3 linked regions of the Arabidopsis thaliana genome follow. The protein of the gene in region 2 binds, or shares a complex with, the protein of the main gene of each other region. Each region holds a gene or a part of one and is shown on either strand. Other genes may lie near its edges.

Region 1 (6,900 bases), on a different chromosome or scaffold from region 2:
ATGCTTAAACCAAGAAAGAGAGATATTGACATAACCAAAAGTGTACTAGAAACCATTATAAGTTTTGAAGGTTTTAGGTGGGTTTAAGGGTTTGAATTGGGTTTGAGACATTTAGAAGGCTATTGATTGGTGAGTATTTATAGAGCATATATAATGGAGTTTTGATTCCTTAATGATTAGTTATATATTGTTAATATTTCAGTCTTTGAGCTTTACTTTAATTTTCTTTAAGAAAAAAGGTGAGTTTAGTGTGGGTAATGTGAAAAACGAAACAGCCTGGAGAGCATACACATCAAAACTATAGTGCGATACATCATAAACATTAAATTAACTATTGTTAATGTGTTACATCCTAAGCTTAGCCAGCCTAATTTAAACATCTCACTTTTTATATATATAGTGGAGTTTGTAAAATTTCAACTTTTTGGACGGTACCATTTCATCATAAATCTTTTAAAATTAATGTGATTGGCCTTTACCTCTTGATTGCGTAGACAGACTAATTGGATATAATATGATTTATAAATGGTTAACAATCAAATAATAATTTTGAATTGATGTAACGAGTAACAAATTAAAAGGATTGGTCATCGATTAATATGCTCTCTTCTTATCTCATTGTTTTGTTTCTCTCGGAGTTGTCAATTTACACAGCACAAACAAAAGTCTTGAAATTCTCTACAACTACTGTTACGTTTTTTTTCCGGCGAGCTGAGCTGAACGCAAATAATCTCCCTCTTCTCTACTAATCTCACCGGAAACAAAAAAAAAACTTTCTATCCTCCTCCGACGTCGTTAGACACACAAACACTCATACAATGATACAAACTCTCATACCAACTGAAGTGTGACTAATATGGCATCATCAGCATCATGTCACCACTTCCACTAGCAGTTGACAATGGTCGCTTTCGAGGTACAGGGAGTTCCAGAATGATGAGGAAATAGGACCGTTCTGATTCTCGGATGTATTGAACCTCACCGTTCATTAGCTTTAAAATCTTTCGACATACGCTTAGACCTAAACCTTCAGGGCTTGTCCACCTGCTGCTATGGAACATGTCTCGGACTAGCTCTGGAGGCAGACCTTCACCTGGACACGCCATTCTGCAAACAACGAATAAAGACATAACAAAGACACCAACACATGAAACCCAAGTTTTACACTTTTGAGCTGGTTTTCATCAATTTGAAAACATTACATTCCTTGACTGCTAATTCTAGGCCTATGGATGTGTCTAAAAGTTCCCAAGTCGACTAAACCGAATACAAAAATCAAACTAATCTAGGTTCCAACTAAACAATAACCAAAACAAATAGTGAATTGGTTAAAACCTCAAATTCTTTAAACGCCTAAATCAAATTCGTAATTAACCAAACCAAATTCATTTTCTTTATGTACAAAATAAGGAACCAAAAAAACCGGATTGCATAATTTTGGTTATGGATATGTGGAGACAACAGCGGGAACAATGAAATGTACCTGAATTCTGTGCGGATGGCGGCGAATCCATCAGCCATTTGCTTTGAAAGTTGGCTTAAATGGATCTCCACCCACTCTTGAGATGGTGCATACCGGATTATACTCAGCAGAAACTCAGCCAGGAGCTGTTGAATCCTTATCTGGTCTCCAAAAACCTCTATTGATTTGATCTCTTCGGGAATGTCACGGATCAGCTGAAGACCTCTGTCCCTTAATAAGAACATCGCTTGACTTACAATCGCGTTTATGACACTTCCAAGGAAAAACTCTTCCCTCTTTAGCACAAATGAACTGATCAATGAAAAAAACAAAATTTGGGATTTGGTCACATTTTGTGAAGTAAGCAAAACTAGCTTCTAGATAAATTCTAACTATACTCACCCGTCTTCAATGCTTTCAAGATCCATGTCCCCGACGATCCTTGAGATCTGTTTCTCGCAAGAAACACTTGTTTCAAGTAACTGCTTCTGGTCCTCGTTCAAGTCTGTGGCCTCCAACAATGAGTTTGCGAAACGCATACCGCTCAAAGGATTCTTTATCACCTGACAAATATAAGCCAACTCTTTTGCCTTCGTGAAACACTCTGTGTCCTGCCTCCGTTGGACTGCTAAAGCTTGCTGCAGCTCAGGGCTCGGGATTTGCAAGAAACAGAAAGCCCCAATAACCTTTCCCTCGAGGCTAACCCGCTTGTTTGCAGTCAATAGAGCCTGAACAAACTTCCCATTGCGGTCAAAGAATGGGAAAGGGAACTTATCCGTATCTTGGCCACCAATCGCATTATGCAATACAATCATGAACTTGGTTAAAGCATCAGGACCCTTTAGCATGCAACAGCTCCCAAACACTTCCCCGACAATCATTTTCCCAATCACTTCACTGCGAGACCAACCCGTAAGCTTTTCCATCGCCATGTTCCATTCCAGGCAGCACGTGTTCTCGTCAGCAGCAAAAATTGGCGGGATTAGAGGGTTTGGGCTATGTACAATAGCCTTGTAATCTCCTTGTATGTTGATGAACTTATCCATTACGATTTTCTGACTAGTAACGTCTTGTCCAACAAAACAAACGCCGACAATGTTGTTCAAGTAGTCCTTGCTGGAACAAGCATTCACAACCACAAAAACTGCTTTCCCTTGTAGTTCGGGGCTGAAAGTTTTCAGCTTAACCTCCACATTCTTTTCCTCGTCCCCTGCATTGCCAAATGCAACAAAATAATCAAATACCCGCGAATTGGTATATACACCGCAGATACAACATAGCTGAAGAACTGAATATACCTCTCAAAGCACGAGAAAGAAGCTTATTGACAGTTGCTTCATTCTCTTTGTATATTAAATCAGAAACCAGAGACTTCCCCATAGCTTCTTCAACTGAGAGACCTGTCAACTCTGCAATCTTAGCGTTCCATCCATTGATGCAGCCTCCGGCATCCACAGCGAATATAGGAACAGTTGCAGTCTCAATGAGCCTAACCATCTCTCTTGCAACTGCACCTAACTCATCAATCCCCTGTTCCCCCGCCATATCCCTACATGGCTGAACCACACCATCCACAACTTTAGAGTTCATAGCCGCCTCAGATTCTTTAAAAGAGTCTCTCAGAATAAGCTGGAGCGAGTGAATCGCATCCATTTCCGCAGTTTCCCATGGCTGACTCCGGCTCTTAACAACTTCAAGAAAAGCCTGAAAGGACGAACGAGGATGCATTCGTTGCCCATCATCTTTATCCTCCGGATGATGCTTAGCGCCTCCCCATTTGATTTCTTTCGCAGTGTGAGATCGAAACCAAAAAAGAAAGTCTCTTTTTGTGATATATGCAACTGCCATACCGCACACAGCATCCCCTAACGCAGCTGCACCGGGATACCCCGCATCGCCTAAACTATCAGTGCTTAATCCGGTTGAATCCGCATGATTCGCAAGCAACCACTCCACAACATCTTTTATCTGAACTTCACTAGGAGCAACACCCAACGGGTAATACTTCCCGTGGTAAAGAAATGCTGCACCGTCACATTTCACTAAGTCCATGATACTGGGACTCTGTGTAACAATTCCAGCAGGCGAGTCACGCAGAAGCATATCACATAACAGTGTCTGCGTTCTCAAAACGCGTTTCTCTGACATTTGCAAAGCTAACTGCAATTCCATGTTTAACTGTAAACCGAAAGCCTGCATCAAAAACTCACAAGCATACCTTAGCGGAAACGGTATGCAGCGAGAAGAAGTGTGATGGCAAACAACCAAACCCCAAAGCCTCATCGAGCTTCTTCCACTAGCTACATTGCTCCCATCATCTTCATTTCCATTGATTATAACCGCCATTGCTAAAGACGCAATAGATCCCATGTTAGCCATATACTGAGAGTGACAACCATGAGGAGCCCTAAGAGTAGAACCAACCAAGCACATAGACTGAGTTAGCCTATCGTCCTGGACCACAAGAACAGGTGTGGCATTGCAATCTACTATCATTCGGACACGGTTCTGCTTAAACAAGAACCTTGACGCTTGAGGAATATCAGTAGCAGGATAATGCAGTCCAATATAAGGCTCTAAATCATCTCGTTTACTCTCAGCTACAACTTCTCCATGCTCATCTTCATGAAACTTATAAACCATAACACGATCATAACCAGTCAAGTCCCTCACACTTTCCACGACAGTGTCACACAAAAGCTTAATATCTCCACCAGGAAGAGCCTGTAACTGAGAAATCGCACGAACCGCGAGTTTCTGCGATTGAACAGCACCAGCAATAGAAAGCGCAGGATCTTCAGTTCTAGCTGGCTCTAAATCAATAACAACACCAACATCAATCCTATGAAGAATGGCGTAAAACGGTTTACCAGTATTCTTGGAATGGATCCAAACCGGATTTAACAAGGTAATCTCTCGAGCAACGAAAGCACGCTCGAGTAGAATCGAGCTCGAAGAAGTGAACAAAGATCTCACATCAGTTCCCATAGCTAGAATCTCAGGTTTCTCAAGAGTAGGAACAGATTGAGGCATAATCCCTAACATTTCTCTGGCGTTTTCACTGTAACCGATGATCCGGAAACTGGATTCATCGACGGCGATCATACATCCGAAAGGCTGAATGTAACCACCTCGCTGGATTCGAGAGAGATAAGCTGTGATCTGTTGCTCAGGTACAGAGGAACCGTACGTCGTCGTTTTGAGTGATTGTGAGTAGTCGAATGATTTCCCTGATTCGCCGGATTGTTCGAAAACGGCGTGGAGTCTTGCGTCGACGGTGTACTGTTGAATTGCTTTGCTCATTGATTCAGTGTTGCTTCTTGGTCTGAGAGATTTCGTTCCCGACGATTGAGCTTGTTCTCCTCCTCTTCGGTTATTAGGAGTGTGACTTGACGACGGTTCTTCTTCTCCGCCACGGCCACCGCCACGGCCACCGCCACTACCCCCGACTCCGGAAACCATGCCGTTTGATTTTGAATTTGAGAAATTTCTCAGAATTACCTTGAGACAAGGAAGGATTTAGGGTGAATCATCATCCACTAGTTATCGGAGACGAATTCTGGTAGAGCTAAATTCTCAAGAATTTTGAACTTGAGGAAGAAGAAAATGGGGAGAATTGAGATCGGAGATAAGTGGAGAAACCAATAAAATAAATTGAAGAAGACGAAGCAAAATGTGTGCCTCTCAGATAGAGAGAGATAACAAAAAAAAATCAGAGTTTTTTTTTTTTTTGTCGTCTTCGCTTTTTGTTTCCTCATATATTTTCTGCGACTTTTTTTGTGTGGCGATTTTAGCAAATTACCTTTAAAGTTTTGATATTTATCAATTTAACCCAGAAGAGCTTTTGTTTTGTCGTTTAATGTGAGGGAGAGATTGATTGGGCCCAAGATCACGTGGGCTAATGGTTTATTCTCTCTAGTGGCCACACGTGGTTGCTGGGCCCATTGCGCGTGGGAGGGAGCCCCTGGACTTGTCGAATCGCATCATCAATTACGATTTCGAATTCGTACTATACAAGTTTGGTTTCTTCAATATCTTATCGTGGGTCAAGTCAACCAAGTGGTGTCCTCTCTATACAAATATTGAAATGTTTTATACTCTCATCGTACGTATATACTTCTCATAATTTGTACTAGATAGAATATAGAATCACATATTGGTCTCAAAGGGGTTCGAAGTAGTATTAGCACGCTCCATGCGGAATAGAATCATAAATTTTGCATAGTAAACTCGTCTAATACATAAGATATATTTTGGTCCACTTTGATATATACGTTGGATCTATATCATTACATTTTGTATAATACATGCATTGTACTACTTAGCATTACGTTTTATTGAATATATGCAATTCTTTTTTGACATATTAATGATTCTAAATTTGGATTATTTGGTGAAAGCATACAATTATGGTGCTTCGAAAAAAGAACATAAAATAAATTAAAGTAATGATAAAGAGGAAAAAAAGAGAGCAGAAAAACATATAAATGAGAAAAATCGTGTGCATGAAAAGTTAAGGGTCCATTACATAAATGATTTTGGGCCGCTCACAGTTTCATGTTAAGTCACTGCGTTCGTCCTTTTCTTTTGTTGAATGACTAATTTCTCCATCTCGTGTTGTTTGTTTTCAAAGCTCTATCATAATAAGTTAAGTATAACCGACCACTTTTTCTTTTTAACACTATTACATATATAAACATCCATGTTACCATGTATGAAGACAAAAACGATTATCTTATATACCCATAAAATATTATGGACCAAAAGTGAATAGTGAAAAGAAAACAGAAAAAAATTGGAATGACAAAAGAAAAACACACTATTCGTTGACAAAACAAAAGTTTAAATGTTTATTAGTGAGTAATGACCTCATATGTTTTGGTCTTATCTTGGACGAGATATGATTGGATGTCCACGAATTTAATCATGTACCTGTTCGCACTAGAGTGTACTAGTTCGTTGGCTAAGAATCGTCCACGTACAATAGTTTTAAACCACCAGTAATTTACCACGTGCCACTGAAATCAAATTAGCTAATAAACTACTCAATTACCAAATCACCCTTATAAACTCTCAATGATTCTTTAGGCTTGGCTGCTAATTTCTTAAAACTTTTGCATAACTTTTGCATAAATAAGAATAAGACAAAAGATGAAATTAATATAAGGGTACAATCGTAATTCAAGAATTTCCAAAATTCGTTCTTTAGTATAACGAAGAACTAGCTAGACATTATTAGGCATTGGGGCATACTTTAAAGCCCAAAACTAAGCCCTCCCATACTAATAAATCAGGAGCCCAAATTGGAAAAAACGACTTTAATAGCCTTTGGGTAATACTTTAAAGCCCAAGCCCAATTTAGAAACATCTAACATTTCTGAAGTGTTCGTTCTCTCATAATCTCTGAAGAAATCAGAGTAAAAGGTAAAGTAAAATTT
Region 2 (5,051 bases):
AACTCATCGTGAATGATAAGATTATTATCTTTTGATAAGATAAAGATAGAAAATGATCATGCAACAACAAAAAAGGAAACTTCCTGAAAGAAGATAAGCTTAGTTCGGAAGACTACTTGGGCCGTCCCCTGAAACAGAAGTTTATCGCGCAAGAATAATTGGGCCTTATATCAGATCCTTTGGCCCAGCCCGTTAGTATTAGACAAGACCAGTTGCGTGCGTCATTGTTGAATATTTCGAAGTTTGATGATCGATCGTCGCTCAAAATTTAGGGCTTTTCACTTCACAATCCCGATTTGGGGTTTTCTGGTAAACTCCTTTAATCTCAGCTCGTCAGACAAAATCGATCTGGGATGAATTTGGATCTAATTGAGCAAAAAATTGTGTTTTTTCAATCTATTGAATTTCACATCCTTAAACCCTTGCATATTCAATCTATTGAATTTCGCATATTTTTCCTCAAATTTATCCAAAATCATCCCAAATCTATTGTGACGGGTTGAAAGTAAGTTTCTTTATCGAAAATCAGTTTGAATGAATGTTAGGGTTTATATTTTGATGGTGACTGATTCCGATTTGTATAAATGTTAGGGTTTATACTGGTTTCTGACTCTCTGGTAAGTATAGAGATGATTATATATTAAATGGTGTTTTAAGGCGTGTTCAGATATAGCTGTGCTTGTGTTGTTCTGTTTTGGCATTTTTCATTTGTTCTGTCTTTACTTCTTCTTAGTCAGTCTGTGGATTTCCTTTGTAATGGTTATTGGTTAGTTAGGAACTACTCTCAGGCCTTCTTCACATGACACCAAAGTTTTTTGTGGATTATGTGGAGGAAATTGCTATTTTAGTATATGGTCATTGAAGCAAGATAAGAACCTTAGAAAGCAGAGTGTTATAATTTTTCTGTCAAACTCATGCTGTAGTTGCAGACTTTTTCCTACTTCAGATTAAGGAGAATGGTTTTTTTTTTGTAAGCAAGAAGTTAAAAGAGTGAGAATCTATGAAGGCCCAGGGACCATGTAAAGTTTGGGAATGGTTTTAAAATTTGATGGCTTTGAGAATCGATCTGAACTATCCTTAGATTTTTGGAAAAGTGCAAAAAAGTGCAAAGTGCAGCATCCTTATATCACTTTATGAACTTTTCACGTGAGGTCTCGAATCCATCACTTAACATTAACACATAGTATAAGCTATACACTTGGTTGTTATTACTTATTTCTTCTTACAGTTCTTGAAGCCGAGAACATATATGGCTGATGGTTTCTACAATTAGGAACGTGATATGACTCATTTTAGTAAGAAGTTGTGATTTACAGCTGAGGAGTCTGTGTTATCAACTTGAATTGTAGAATCTTTTTGTTGTCAGGGAGGCGTGAAAGTGTCACATGTTCAGGTTATCGGGAAGTTATTGGCTTTGAACCTTGGCTTCCCTCTTAGTAGTTAGCAAGGTGAAATCTGCGTTTTCACTTCTTGATGATCCATATTTCACAAATGGGGATCTGTACCAATTAGACTGGTTTTGTTTAACTAATGCAGAGAAAGAAGAATACTATAGTTTTAATTAGCCAAAACTACAAACCCATTTGCACAACAGTAGTAATACTTCTTGAAGCTAAGAATTTCACCAAACCTAACATAATCTCAAACTAAAAGTAATTTACAGCTTGCAATCTAGTTTTTCTTTTTGCCACAGGAGTATCAGAATGAAGGAACAATCCCATATCCTGTGTTGTACATTAGCATCGTGTTGAACCCTTGCTCCTCGGCTTCGATTTCTCTCTTTGCGAACCGGCCATTGACCCGCGGTCTTATCTCTGCATATGCCTTCCTCGAAGCATACCTTATTGTCTTCTCAAATTTCCTTGTCTTCCTCTTCTCTCTGTATCTCAGGACCCTGGCTTCTCTGTCCATTGGACTGAGTTGTGTTACTGTTATCATCTGGCTTGCAGGGTCAGGTTGTTGCTCTACTGTCCCTTTGGGCGTTCTTGGGTGTGAAGCTGTTGTGACACATGCTGTTGACTCCGGCACAACACCAGTTTCCATGGATGAAATGTATGCCTAATGACAGAAACAAAGACATTCTCAATCCCCCTGGTAAGAGGACTAAAGAGAGTCGATGCAAAAGGAAGCATATATTGTTTTTATTATAGACTTCTGGTGAAATTTCTATGTGCTATAGATCAACTGTTGGCAGTGGATCAGTGGATTTGTGTGTATGATGAAAGAATTCACCCTGCTGCGTTATGGGAAGATGCTAAATTGAAGGGGTAACAAATATACAAAAGCCTTACGTTATGGTTAATGGAACCATTGTCGTTGTAGTGAGTCCCTGAGGAGCCATATTTGATATTGAACTGAAAATTCTGTTGGTTATGGCACTGGTGGCCCCTTGATTCTTCAAGTTTAAGCGGAACAACTCTATCTCCCCCGTAGCTCGTCTGTGGTACGCTGCAGTTTTGTTGGTGTTGACTGTATTCACCTGTGAATTTGTAGTCCATACTCGAGTTGTAATCCACAAGGTTTAGATACTCATCACTAAACAATAACCCATTGTTTTGGTTATTGTTATTTTTGTCTGAATTAGGGAACAGCCACGAAGCAACCTCCTTGGCATCCTTATCACCTTCTTCACCTTCCTCTTGATCCACCACCAGTCTCTTCTCTGGATCGGTCATTGTTTTCTCGCTTTGGTGGTGAGTAGTGGTCATGGAGCTGAAAGAGTTTCCAGAAATTGGTAGAATTGGAACTCGCTGATGGCGTCTAGCAAGTGGGTTTGCAGAATGAACCTCTGAATCACAGGCTGTGCATAGAGAGGCATCATCTGCCTCACACAAAAAAGCAGCCGGAGCACGCTCACATGACTCGCAGACCCGGACACGTTTATGGCGGGAAGCAACGCGATTGGCAGAGTGAACTTGAGCATCACAGCTCATGCACAAGTAGGCAGAATCTGCATGGCAATACACGGTGCAGGCGTTTGACCGGCATGTGTCACAGGGTCGTGCCCTGTTGTTCTCTCCACTACCTATGTCGTTACTCTCTTGTTTCAACATAATAACTCAGATGTAGTAAGTTTGATGGTGTGGGAGCTGGTATCTGAAAGAAGGGGCTAATAAAGCTTATATCTGGTGTGAGAGAATAAGTAGAGGGGAGATCGAATCCTGAGTGCCTACACGTGGCACAGCGTTAGTGGCTCTTACATGTTATTGGATCCTCTTGCAGCTAGTTGAGCTTTTGGGAAGGCCTATGTGTAAAGTGTAAAGTGTAAAGTGTAAAGTGTAAACATCTCCTCCTATGCACTTCTTCGTTGGGACCCGTTCACAAGTTGCTTAGGTTTTGCCACTTGCCATACTGAGATTCTCAAGAGGAAGTGGTCCGGATAATGCCATGGTGTTGCAGGCAAATTGTTACTATTTTTTCGTATCACCTTTTACTATTTTCATATGCATTTTATTTAAAGTAAAGCTAGATTCGTTTTATCTCTTTGGCTTTATACAAAGTTTAAGTGGTTGAATATTCATCCTGAACCTTGTGATTACTGTTCAGGTATCTCTCCGAGTAAGGCTTCGAGTGTCAGAGCCATCACCAACTGTTATGGGTTGACTACCTATACAAAGGTTAGACAAACTCGTGAATATGGTATAGTTGTTGTTCCATTATTTGTGAATGCATCTGCATCATTTAGAAAGATTTGCAATTGAAACTTTCGAAGGATTTTCTGATGAAAAGTGTTATAATGTTTAATCTGGTTCATAAAGTCATGGTAATGAGAATCATATCGGAAAAGTGACATGAAAAACATAGAGACGGTGGATTTTCTAGGATCAAACTCGAATCCGCCAAGTAGTCTTGAGACTACAAATTAGAATTTACCTGACGCACAAGTTAAAACTTAAAAGGCATTTTGGAGTCCACATGAGCAATAATTAGATTTATCATATATAGTATGTAGAAATTTGCACTTGGTAACCATTATAGTAAGTAGTTACAAAACATGACTCATGAGTGTTGTCACATCTCTGTAATTTGGGTTTATGATGATACTCTATACTATTTATTGTAGCTTTATTAGATCTCAACCTGTGGAAGTAATCTAATACAAACGACACTTGTATGGAATTTTCAGGACATGTTTCTAAGATCACAGAGGTAATTGTGAAGTTTTCTGCTACACTCATTTACTAGTCCACATGATCCATAGATGCAATTTAACCATCTTCACTCTATTTGGTGACCCATTCATGTGTTTAGCATCGTGGGTTTTCCTGTACTAATAACCATTAGTACTTGGAGTTGCCTTGTTGGTGTTATGCTCATAATGTTTACTATGTGGAAGCTACAGGATACGATACTCTCTAGGTTTGAGGACTAGCTCCAGTTACGCTTTTGGGTCCAGTGAATGTATGATACCCATTATGTGGTCCAAAAAGAATGAGATTTGACGGACGCTCTAGTGGCCAAATTCATATGGCTACCTTCACTCTATGCCTTAAGAGCTGAAAAGTGAGTGTTTTTTTTTTGTATAAAATGCTGGTCCTAGGATACACTTTTCGCATCTCTTCCTCTTTCATATTTGCTTACACCGCACTTCTCTTTCCCATTTTGAACTTTAAACTTTGAAAAGTTTTTTTTTGCTTGGTAATTGGAACTTAACATACAAGTTCTTGTTATTTACTGGTTTTACGATGAATGTAATGGCATTTAGAATTGTTATGAAATGGTTATATGATCATTGAATTCTAAAGAAAAGATTCTAGGTTCTTTAGTAAGCATTTTTGGAGATCTTTATCCTGCCAAGTTGGATAAGTTGAGGCATCTTTGGCTTTTAGTGCTTTGGTGATGAAATTTTTTGGAGATTGTAACGTGGTTCGAGTTCATGAAGAGTAAATTGTGTATTGGCCTTTTCACTTGTAGCTCAAGAAAAAAGTAGTTTTGCTTATTATTGCTCGTTGACAGTCTCTAATTAAGTTTATTGTTGTAGCGGTTTGGAACTTCTCTCACATGTGTAGGCCTTCGGATAACTGTTACGAGTAATAGATCATATGTAACAA
Region 3 (7,656 bases), on a different chromosome or scaffold from region 2:
ATCCTCTGGCTTAGTCTCCTCAGGTTCCCTGTAAAAGAACAGGTCAACCTGCACAACACCATACCATATGAAAAATTCAGTCAATAAACAGGGAAAGTTTTTAATGAACAGATGCCTTTCTAATCTAAGAGCTCCAAGAATGATATTCTTACCATGACATCCCACTTCTGTCCAGCAGCAATGGTTCCACGCATCTGAAGGACCATGCGAGCCAGAAGCCAGAAAAGGCACCCAATGCTGTGCTTTCCCTTGTTGTTGGCTGGGATACCAATGTCAACAAATCTCATTGGAGAGTCTGTGTCACAGAAAGCAATGATTGGAATGTTTCCCAAAGCACCTTCCTTGATAGGCTGCAACACACACAAGACATTTATCAATAACAAAAATCATTAATCAATCACTAGTATATGAATCATATGAAGAGTTTACCTGGTGGTCAGTTCTTGGGTCAGTAAGAATCAACAGCCTTGGTTCACTGAAGGATGTCTGCATCTGATTGGTGAAGGTACCAGGAGTGTGTCTTCCAGCAATGGCATTGGCTCCAGTGTACTGAGCAAACTTCAACACAGCTCTCTGTCCATAGGGCCTAGCTGACTGGACGATGATGTCCTGTGGGTTCTCAATGGCAACAATAACTCTAGCAGCCATCTGGAGCTTTTCCCATGTTTTGCCAAGGTTGAAGATGTAAATACCTGAGAATGACGAAAACTTCAAAAACTAAGTTCCATACTCACCACTTACAATTGTAAATTACAATAAAAGAGCAACAATAACACACACTAGCACAAATACAATCTCAAACATCAGTCAAAACTAAAATCTCAATTTTTTTTTTTTTACAAACACACAGAGAGAGATAGAAATGAAACTTGAGCCTTTGATCATTTGTTCATACATTTCTGTAAACAAGAACACTAGAGAAGACACAGAAACAAAAGCCTTTTCTTAGATACGAACGCAGAGAAGTGAGCGTGCTGACAAAAACGGCTAGTTGCAACATTTTATCTTTTCTCAGTCAGCGACATATTTAGATCCGTCGTGAGTAAAATCTACTCTCGATACAATAAAACAACCTATAAATCCAAAAACCATCTAAAACAAAGCAGCATAAACCAAATAAACAGATCATCAACATTTATACAAATCCGAAATATCAACACAGAATCTCAACACTATAACCATCAACATACATACATACAGATAGTTTATCAAAAAATATACGAGAAATTACCATCGTTGCGTCTCTTGAAGACGTAACGCTCCATCTGGTAATTGCAATTCTTGGTTCCAAGATGAACCTCAGCGGCACACATCATCCTGACATCAGCTTCCTTCTGAGAGAGCTGCGCTGAGCTAGCAGATCCATTAGTCGCCATTTTCTTATCTCTCTTCTTCTTCTTCGCCGGGAACTAATCGCCGCGATAAGCTTTTTTCACTCAGTAAATCACACGAAGAGGCGACGAAAGGCTTATAAGGGTGAAGGATTTTATATATCAAGCAAAACCCTAATTTGCAAAATGTCTATTCTACCCCCAAACTCGGTTACCCAAATTTTAATCGAAGCTAACCAAAATTAATAACTGGTTCAACTTCCGTTTTGTCTTAAACCGAAATCCAAGTGTGCACAGAGACACAAAAGATAATTTCTTTTTCTGCTACTTTGAAGTTAGAAGAAGAACCCTAACAATAATCTCTCTTCCTTTCTCTTCCGATCGCATCTTCTTCAAAAATTTCCCACCTGTGTTTCACAAATTCCATGTTTATGAATTCTTCATTGCTCTATTCTTAGTCACCTTTGATTTCTCTCGCTTTCTATCCGATCCAATTGTTTGATGATCTTCTCTGTAACAAGCTCATAAGGTTTCAATTTCTCTAGCTTTCTTAAAATTCATTCTTCGATTTCTTCAATTCTCGTGTCTTTTTTATTTCTGTATCGTTTATTGACAGTACCTAGACAGGTTTGAGCTTCATCTCTCTGGAGAGAATCCATGGGTGTCTCGTTTAAGATATCGAAGGTTGGTAGAAAGTTTCGACCTAAGATTTCTACTGAATTGGCTACTCCTGATTCCCCAAAAGCAATCGTTCTATCTGGGAAACCAAAGGTAATTTAACTTAGAATTTTAGTTGTATTGTGTTCCAACTAAATTCGCTTATTTTGGAAAGTTATATAGAAAATTTATTACGTTTGGTTCAGGCCACTGATGATAGCAATATTGGCGATGTTTCCGGGTTTTCGAAGCCATCTTTACCCGATATATCTCCAGGTTTGGATCTCAACGAACCACTTTGACACATAATGTTTTGCTAAATTCTAGCTATGTTGAATTGAGTGCATTTTGGTTTCTCTGCAGATCATGAAGTTTCCTTCATATTGAGCCTCTATCCAAATGGGTACTCTATAGGAAAAACCTCTGAGGTATGTACTGAGAGTCTATATGAATTTATTTATCTTGTGATTTCTTGTATTTGAGTTTTAAAACCTTCACGTTTTCACAAATTTGAGTTTTTGAATACCAGGCTATGCAACAGATATCGTTTCGAGATGTTCCAAAGGTCTTACATCCGTATGATAGGGCAGCAGAGGGTCTCCTTTCGGTAAATCTTTCGAACTATGTTATTATAGACTTGATTTGAACATGTAATCAAAGTTTTGGTGAATGAATTCAAAGTACTTAGATTTAGTAAATGTGAAGATGATGTTTTTTTTCCCCACTTGTTCTACCCGAATAATGCATTTCACTGCACTACTTACTCGCGTTTTGTTAAATACACTTTCTGAGTTTCATTCTACTGAGTAAATGTTTTTAATCCCTTTGTACGCTTTATAGGCTATTGAGGCTGGCAGGCTTCCTGGGGACATTTTGGAAGATATACCTTGCAAATTTGTGGATGGGGTGGTTATATGTGAGGTGAGTTATCTGCAATTATTTTTTGGGATAAAGCCTTCCATAAGTTCTTGGAAACAGTCCAAACGTATATAAATATATTTAAAAAGAGCTCAACAGAAATTATCTACACTTAATCAAGATTAAAAAAATGTCGTAATTATAAGTACATGGAAGTTTATCTTCCAAACTCAATTGTACATGTATTTGATTGTTTCTGAAACATAATGGAGTAACTGGGACCAGAAGTAAACATAAAAAACCTAGTTATACTAATTTTTAATTGACTGCTGTGTACCATCTTACATCATCATGTTTTCTTTAATTTTTGGCACATACTATTGTAGGTGCATGACTATCGGAAACATACCTCATCTCAAGTCTCTCCTGTGATAAATAAATTGCGCCTTAAGATGTCACTCGAGAATGTGGTAAAAGATATTCCATCAATGTCAGACAACTCATGGACGTACGGTGATCTCATGGTAATCATGGTAGCTCGTGGCTTATAGGTCGTATATCTGAGCACTGAAACTATTATCTTCTGTACTGATCCTTACATCAACTGCAGGAAGTGGAGTCCAGGATATTAAAAGCCTTACAACCTGAACTCTGTCTGGATCCTTTACCCAGACTTGATAGGCTGAGTAAAAATCCTTTGACTGCTAAGGTAATATCTCATTAAAAAGACTCCTTGTGCTTTCTGTTCTCAGTTGTTTATTATAGTGTCTAAAATGTTTTTTTTTCTCTACTCGATAGCTCGATTTGTCGCTTTCTACTTTGCGGAGAAAGAGATTAAGGCAAATGGCAGAAGTGACAGTCATGTCTCAGAATAAGATTCAGGGGAAAAAGGTGTGCATTGATCGGCTTCCTGAAAGTTCAGAGCGAGGAAATTTGCCAGGGCATTTGATAATGCAGCAAACCAATAACAACCAGGCTATTCAAAACCTTGGTACTAATATGCTGGCGGGATTAAGAAGTCAGCCGTTGCAAGATGCACCAAATTCCTCTCTGGCCTTGGTACCACCTCAGCAACAAAGGTACATGGGAATTGGAAGTACAAGAAACACGCAGGATCAAGGATCAAATTCTGTCAGTGTCTCTGGCGCTTCGCCTGGTGGACTAGATGCGATGCTGCCTTATGGCTCTGATAGTATGAACCCTGGTACATCTTTTCATAGAAAGAGAGAAAGTCAAGAAGGACAAATGTCTTCTATGCCTGGCTTGAATAAGCGAACAAGGGTTTCACATATGGGTCCTGATGGGGTTCCGCAGCAACAGTTAGGGCAACGTATGGATGGCCTTCATGGATCCGATACAAATTGGAAAAATACGCTTCTACAACACCAAGACATGCTAGGCAGAAGTATTCAGTATCCAAATACAAGTATTCAGAGGTTTTCACCACACCAAATGGAAGGGGTTATGAATCAGGAAGGTGGTCCCATGCAATTTCCAGCTTCACAACAGGGGGGAATGAAATACACTTCAAAAGAGGAGCCATTTGAGACTGGTAAAATTGATGGCGGCACCAGAAACAATATTCCGGGGGTGGGAAGTGATGCAAATGATTTAGATCCACGTATTCAGTCAAGGATGCCCCATAATGCATTCATTAGATCAAATTTCCCTCAAACATCCTGGAATGTTAATCCTGGCCAGCAGATTGAAAAAGAGCCGAAAAAAGAAGAACAATTTAGTCGTAGGATATCGGCTCAAAGTCCTCGTTTGTCGGCAGGTGGTCCACCGCAGTCCCCACTTTCATCGAAGTCTGGTGAGTTTTCTGGTGGTTCAATGGGGACCCACTATGGAGCAGTTGCAGCAGCTCAGAAGGACAAGGCTGTTACTTCTATTCCTGCTATTGGTGCTACTCAGTCAGTGGGTTCTAGTGCTAATGAAGCTATGCAGCAAAGGCAACACCAAGCCCAAATGGCTGCAAAACGGAGAACAAATTCTCTTCCTAAGACGCAAGTTATTAGCACTGTTGGTTCTCCTGTTAGTGTCAATACTATTAGTGTCCCAGTTAATGCAAGGAGCCCTTCAGTGGGACCCCAAACTTTGGGCGATCACGCAATCTTGGACAGATTTTCAAAGATTGAACGAGTTGCTGCTAGGTATGAATGTTATGAAACCTGGTTTGTTGATTTTATTCCCTTCAAATTCTTTTTTATGATCTTTACTTTCACTTATGTGATACTTCTCCTGTTTTGATTCTGGCTTTACGCTAGAGCATTGCTGGCATTGTCTTATTCTCCTTATATCATTGCATTTATATAAATAAATAATGTTTGTTGGTGCATGAACAAGTTCTATATTTCATAGATTTTATTTTTTGGTTGATCCAGTTTCTTGTTCCATTTTTAGGTACCAACTAAACTGCAAAAAGCATAAGGTGGATGAGTACTCTCGAAGACCTCGCGTGTATGCTAAACAGCCCCTTACTGTTTGTTTATCAAACCTGTCTAACGAAGAGGTCTTCAAAGACGAGGACGAAGCATTATCAAAATCTATATTTGGTGGCAGTATGAATACATACAAGACCAGAGTCATTCACTTTGGTCAGATGGAACGTGTAATGCAAGGTCTGTTTTTCTTTTAACTAGATATCTGGCTATTGGTATATTTCTTTATGTGATTGACCAGACTCCAGTATCTTTTCAGGTTCGGTCCCTTCCTTCATCCCTAGAAACCGAACAAGACTGGTGATGTCAGAGAAGGCCGTCGATGGGACAGTAGCATGGTATCAAGGGGACGTAGATGAAGGGGATGTTTTTCAGGCTGAAGATTTTCTCTTAGCGTTGCCCAATACAGTAAGTTCACAGGAAATTTGATAGTTATCATACTCCCCTGCATTCTTTTTTGATCAGCAATATATCTTCAACTTGCATGCACTACCATTCAATGTAATGTTGATTTTACATTTAGTGATGTTTATAGGTTGTCGGGTCATGTTCTTGGGGTTTATGTCTCTGTTGTGAATGTTTTGTGTAATTATGAATATGGTTGGTTGGTCTATGGATACTTCTCTCTTGTTAGTTGCTTATGCTCGTTTATCCTTCTTGTCCAATGCGATCAAAAGGGAATGGACAATGGATTATTAATTTTTCTCTTATGTACGCCACTTATTTTCTGGAAGCTATGCTGACTTGCTTATTCCTCACTTTGTCACAGCACATCGCCGATCTACTTGCTACTCAATTTAAATCACTGGTATTTCTCGAGTTCTGAATCAATTATTTCATGTTCCTGGTTCTATGGTAAAGCTACTTAAAGATTGATTTATATGCTTATGCAGATGGCCCGTGAAGGATACATGATTGAAGAACATATTATGGCAAAGCCAAACCGTGGGGATACTGGCCCAATCAGCAGCCATCCAAATTCTGCGGGTGGTTATCCAAGAGGTTATTCTGCAAACGATATGCAACAGTATGGAGATGCAGTTGCAGGGCAAGCGTCTGGTGAGGCATCAAAACATGGGAATACTGGAAATACGCCGAATAACTCAACCCAGAATATTCTTGCAAATGCAAGGATGGTTCCTCCAACAAATTCTCAAGCCTTGCAAATGTCTCAAGGACTGCTGTCTGGTGTCTCCATGCCTATGCAACCACAACAGCTTGACCCACAACAGTCAGCGCTACTGTCATCACATTCACAGCAGAAAAATCAACAGTCAATGTTTACACAGCAACAGCATCCACAAATGCAGAGACCTTCCATGATACTGCCTACAAATCCACTATCAGCCATCAACTCGATGAGCCAGAGCTCTGGTATGCAGCCGGGTGGTCAGATGGCCAACAAGTATTCGCCTCTCCAACTGCAGATGTTACAGCAGCAGCAGCAGGCGGCAGTGCAGAAGAAGATAATGATGGGGCTAGGATCAGGTGTAGGCATGGGTATGGGTATGGGCATGGGTATGGGTATGGGAAGCATGGGAAATAGTATTGCTGGGCTTGGAGCTTTAGGCAACCAATTGAATATGGCAGGAAGAGGTATGGGGGGAACCGGAATCTCATCGTCAATGTCTGTTCCTGGCATCGGTAATATGGGCCAGAACCCAATGAATCTGAATCCAGCATCAAATTTGAATGCTATAAGCCAGCAACTCCGATCTGGTGCATTAACACCACAACAAAACGCTCTGTTTACACAGATTAGGATGGGCATGGCAAACCGAGGAGGTGTAATGGGTGCTCCTCAAACCGGGATAAGTGGCGTGTCAGGTACTAGGCAGATGCACCCCAGCTCAGCTGGTCTTTCCATGTTGGATCAGAACAGAGCTAATCTGCAGCGAGCTGCTGCTATGGGTAACATGGGCCCACCCAAGCTGATGCCTGGAATGATGAATCTTTACATGAATCAACAACAACAGCAGCAGCAACTCCAGCAGCAACCCCAACAACAACAGTTGCAGCATCAGCAACAGTTACAGCAGCCTATGTCTCAGCCATCTCAGCAGCTAGCTCAGTCTCCGCAGCAGCAGCAGCAGCTACAACAACATGAACAGCCTCAACAAGCACAGCAGCAGCAGCAGGCAACAGCATCCCCTCTTCAGTCTGTACTATCACCACCCCAAGTAGGGTCACCATCAGCTGGAATTACCCAACAGCAGCTACAACAGTCCAGTCCCCAGCAAATGAGTCAGAGAACTCCAATGAGTCCCCAGCAAGTGAACCAAAGAACTCCTATGAGTCCTCAGATAAGCTCGGGTGCAATGCATCCCATGAGCACAAGCAACCTCGAGGGTTGTCCAGCGAGTCCACAG

What was found.
Region 1: CO (region 2) and PHYB share a complex: the UniProt entries of both Arabidopsis thaliana proteins name them as parts of the red light-dependent nuclear complex.
Region 3: CO (region 2) and AT1G72390 share a complex: the UniProt entries of both Arabidopsis thaliana proteins name them as parts of the red light-dependent nuclear complex.

Annotation. Positions count from the first base shown.
Region 1 is NC_003071.7:8,138,103-8,145,002, reverse strand, and holds PHYB (phytochrome B), read right to left. Parts: upstream 5,241-6,900; 5' UTR 4,925-5,240; coding exon 2,761-4,924; intron 2,673-2,760; coding exon 1,865-2,672; intron 1,775-1,864; coding exon 1,484-1,774; coding exon of another isoform or gene 1,354-1,483; exon of another isoform or gene 1,108-1,353; coding exon 852-1,107; 3' UTR 542-851; downstream 1-541. Other genes in the region: XTH21 (xyloglucan endotransglucosylase/hydrolase 21), read right to left, coding at 1-56. UniProt on the Arabidopsis thaliana protein: Regulatory photoreceptor which exists in two forms that are reversibly interconvertible by light: the Pr form that absorbs maximally in the red region of the spectrum and the Pfr form that absorbs maximally in the far-red region.
Region 2 is NC_003076.8:5,169,645-5,174,695, forward strand, and holds CO (B-box type zinc finger protein with CCT domain-containing protein), read right to left. Parts: upstream 3,442-5,051; 5' UTR 3,054-3,441; coding exon 2,292-3,053; coding exon of another isoform or gene 2,151-2,291; exon of another isoform or gene 2,059-2,150; coding exon 1,699-2,058; coding exon of another isoform or gene 1,694-1,698; 3' UTR 1,405-1,693; coding exon of another isoform or gene 1,367-1,404; 3' UTR 1,260-1,366; coding exon of another isoform or gene 1,250-1,259; 3' UTR 518-1,249; downstream 1-517. Other genes in the region: AT5G15843 (uncharacterized protein), read left to right, coding at 1,250-1,259, 1,367-1,404, 1,694-2,052, 2,151-2,267, 2,585-2,738. UniProt on the Arabidopsis thaliana protein: Transcription factor that acts in the long day flowering pathway and may mediate between the circadian clock and the control of flowering.
Region 3 is NC_003070.9:27,243,467-27,251,122, forward strand, and holds the start of AT1G72390 (nuclear receptor coactivator), read left to right. Parts: upstream 1-1,615; 5' UTR 1,616-1,860; intron 1,861-1,947; exon of another isoform or gene 1,948-1,958; 5' UTR 1,959-1,988; coding exon 1,989-2,102; intron 2,103-2,194; coding exon 2,195-2,264; intron 2,265-2,351; coding exon 2,352-2,416; intron 2,417-2,517; coding exon 2,518-2,595; intron 2,596-2,828; coding exon 2,829-2,909; intron 2,910-3,232; coding exon 3,233-3,370; intron 3,371-3,456; coding exon 3,457-3,555; intron 3,556-3,644; coding exon 3,645-4,999; intron 5,000-5,249; coding exon 5,250-5,467; intron 5,468-5,546; coding exon 5,547-5,695; intron 5,696-6,056; coding exon 6,057-6,095; intron 6,096-6,180; coding exon 6,181-7,656. Other genes in the region: P40 (40s ribosomal protein SA), read right to left, coding at 1-48, 153-350, 430-692, 1,232-1,376. UniProt on the Arabidopsis thaliana protein: Triggers photoperiod-monitored flowering by repressing PHYB-dependent flowering negative regulation, probably through physical interactions with PHYB and CO.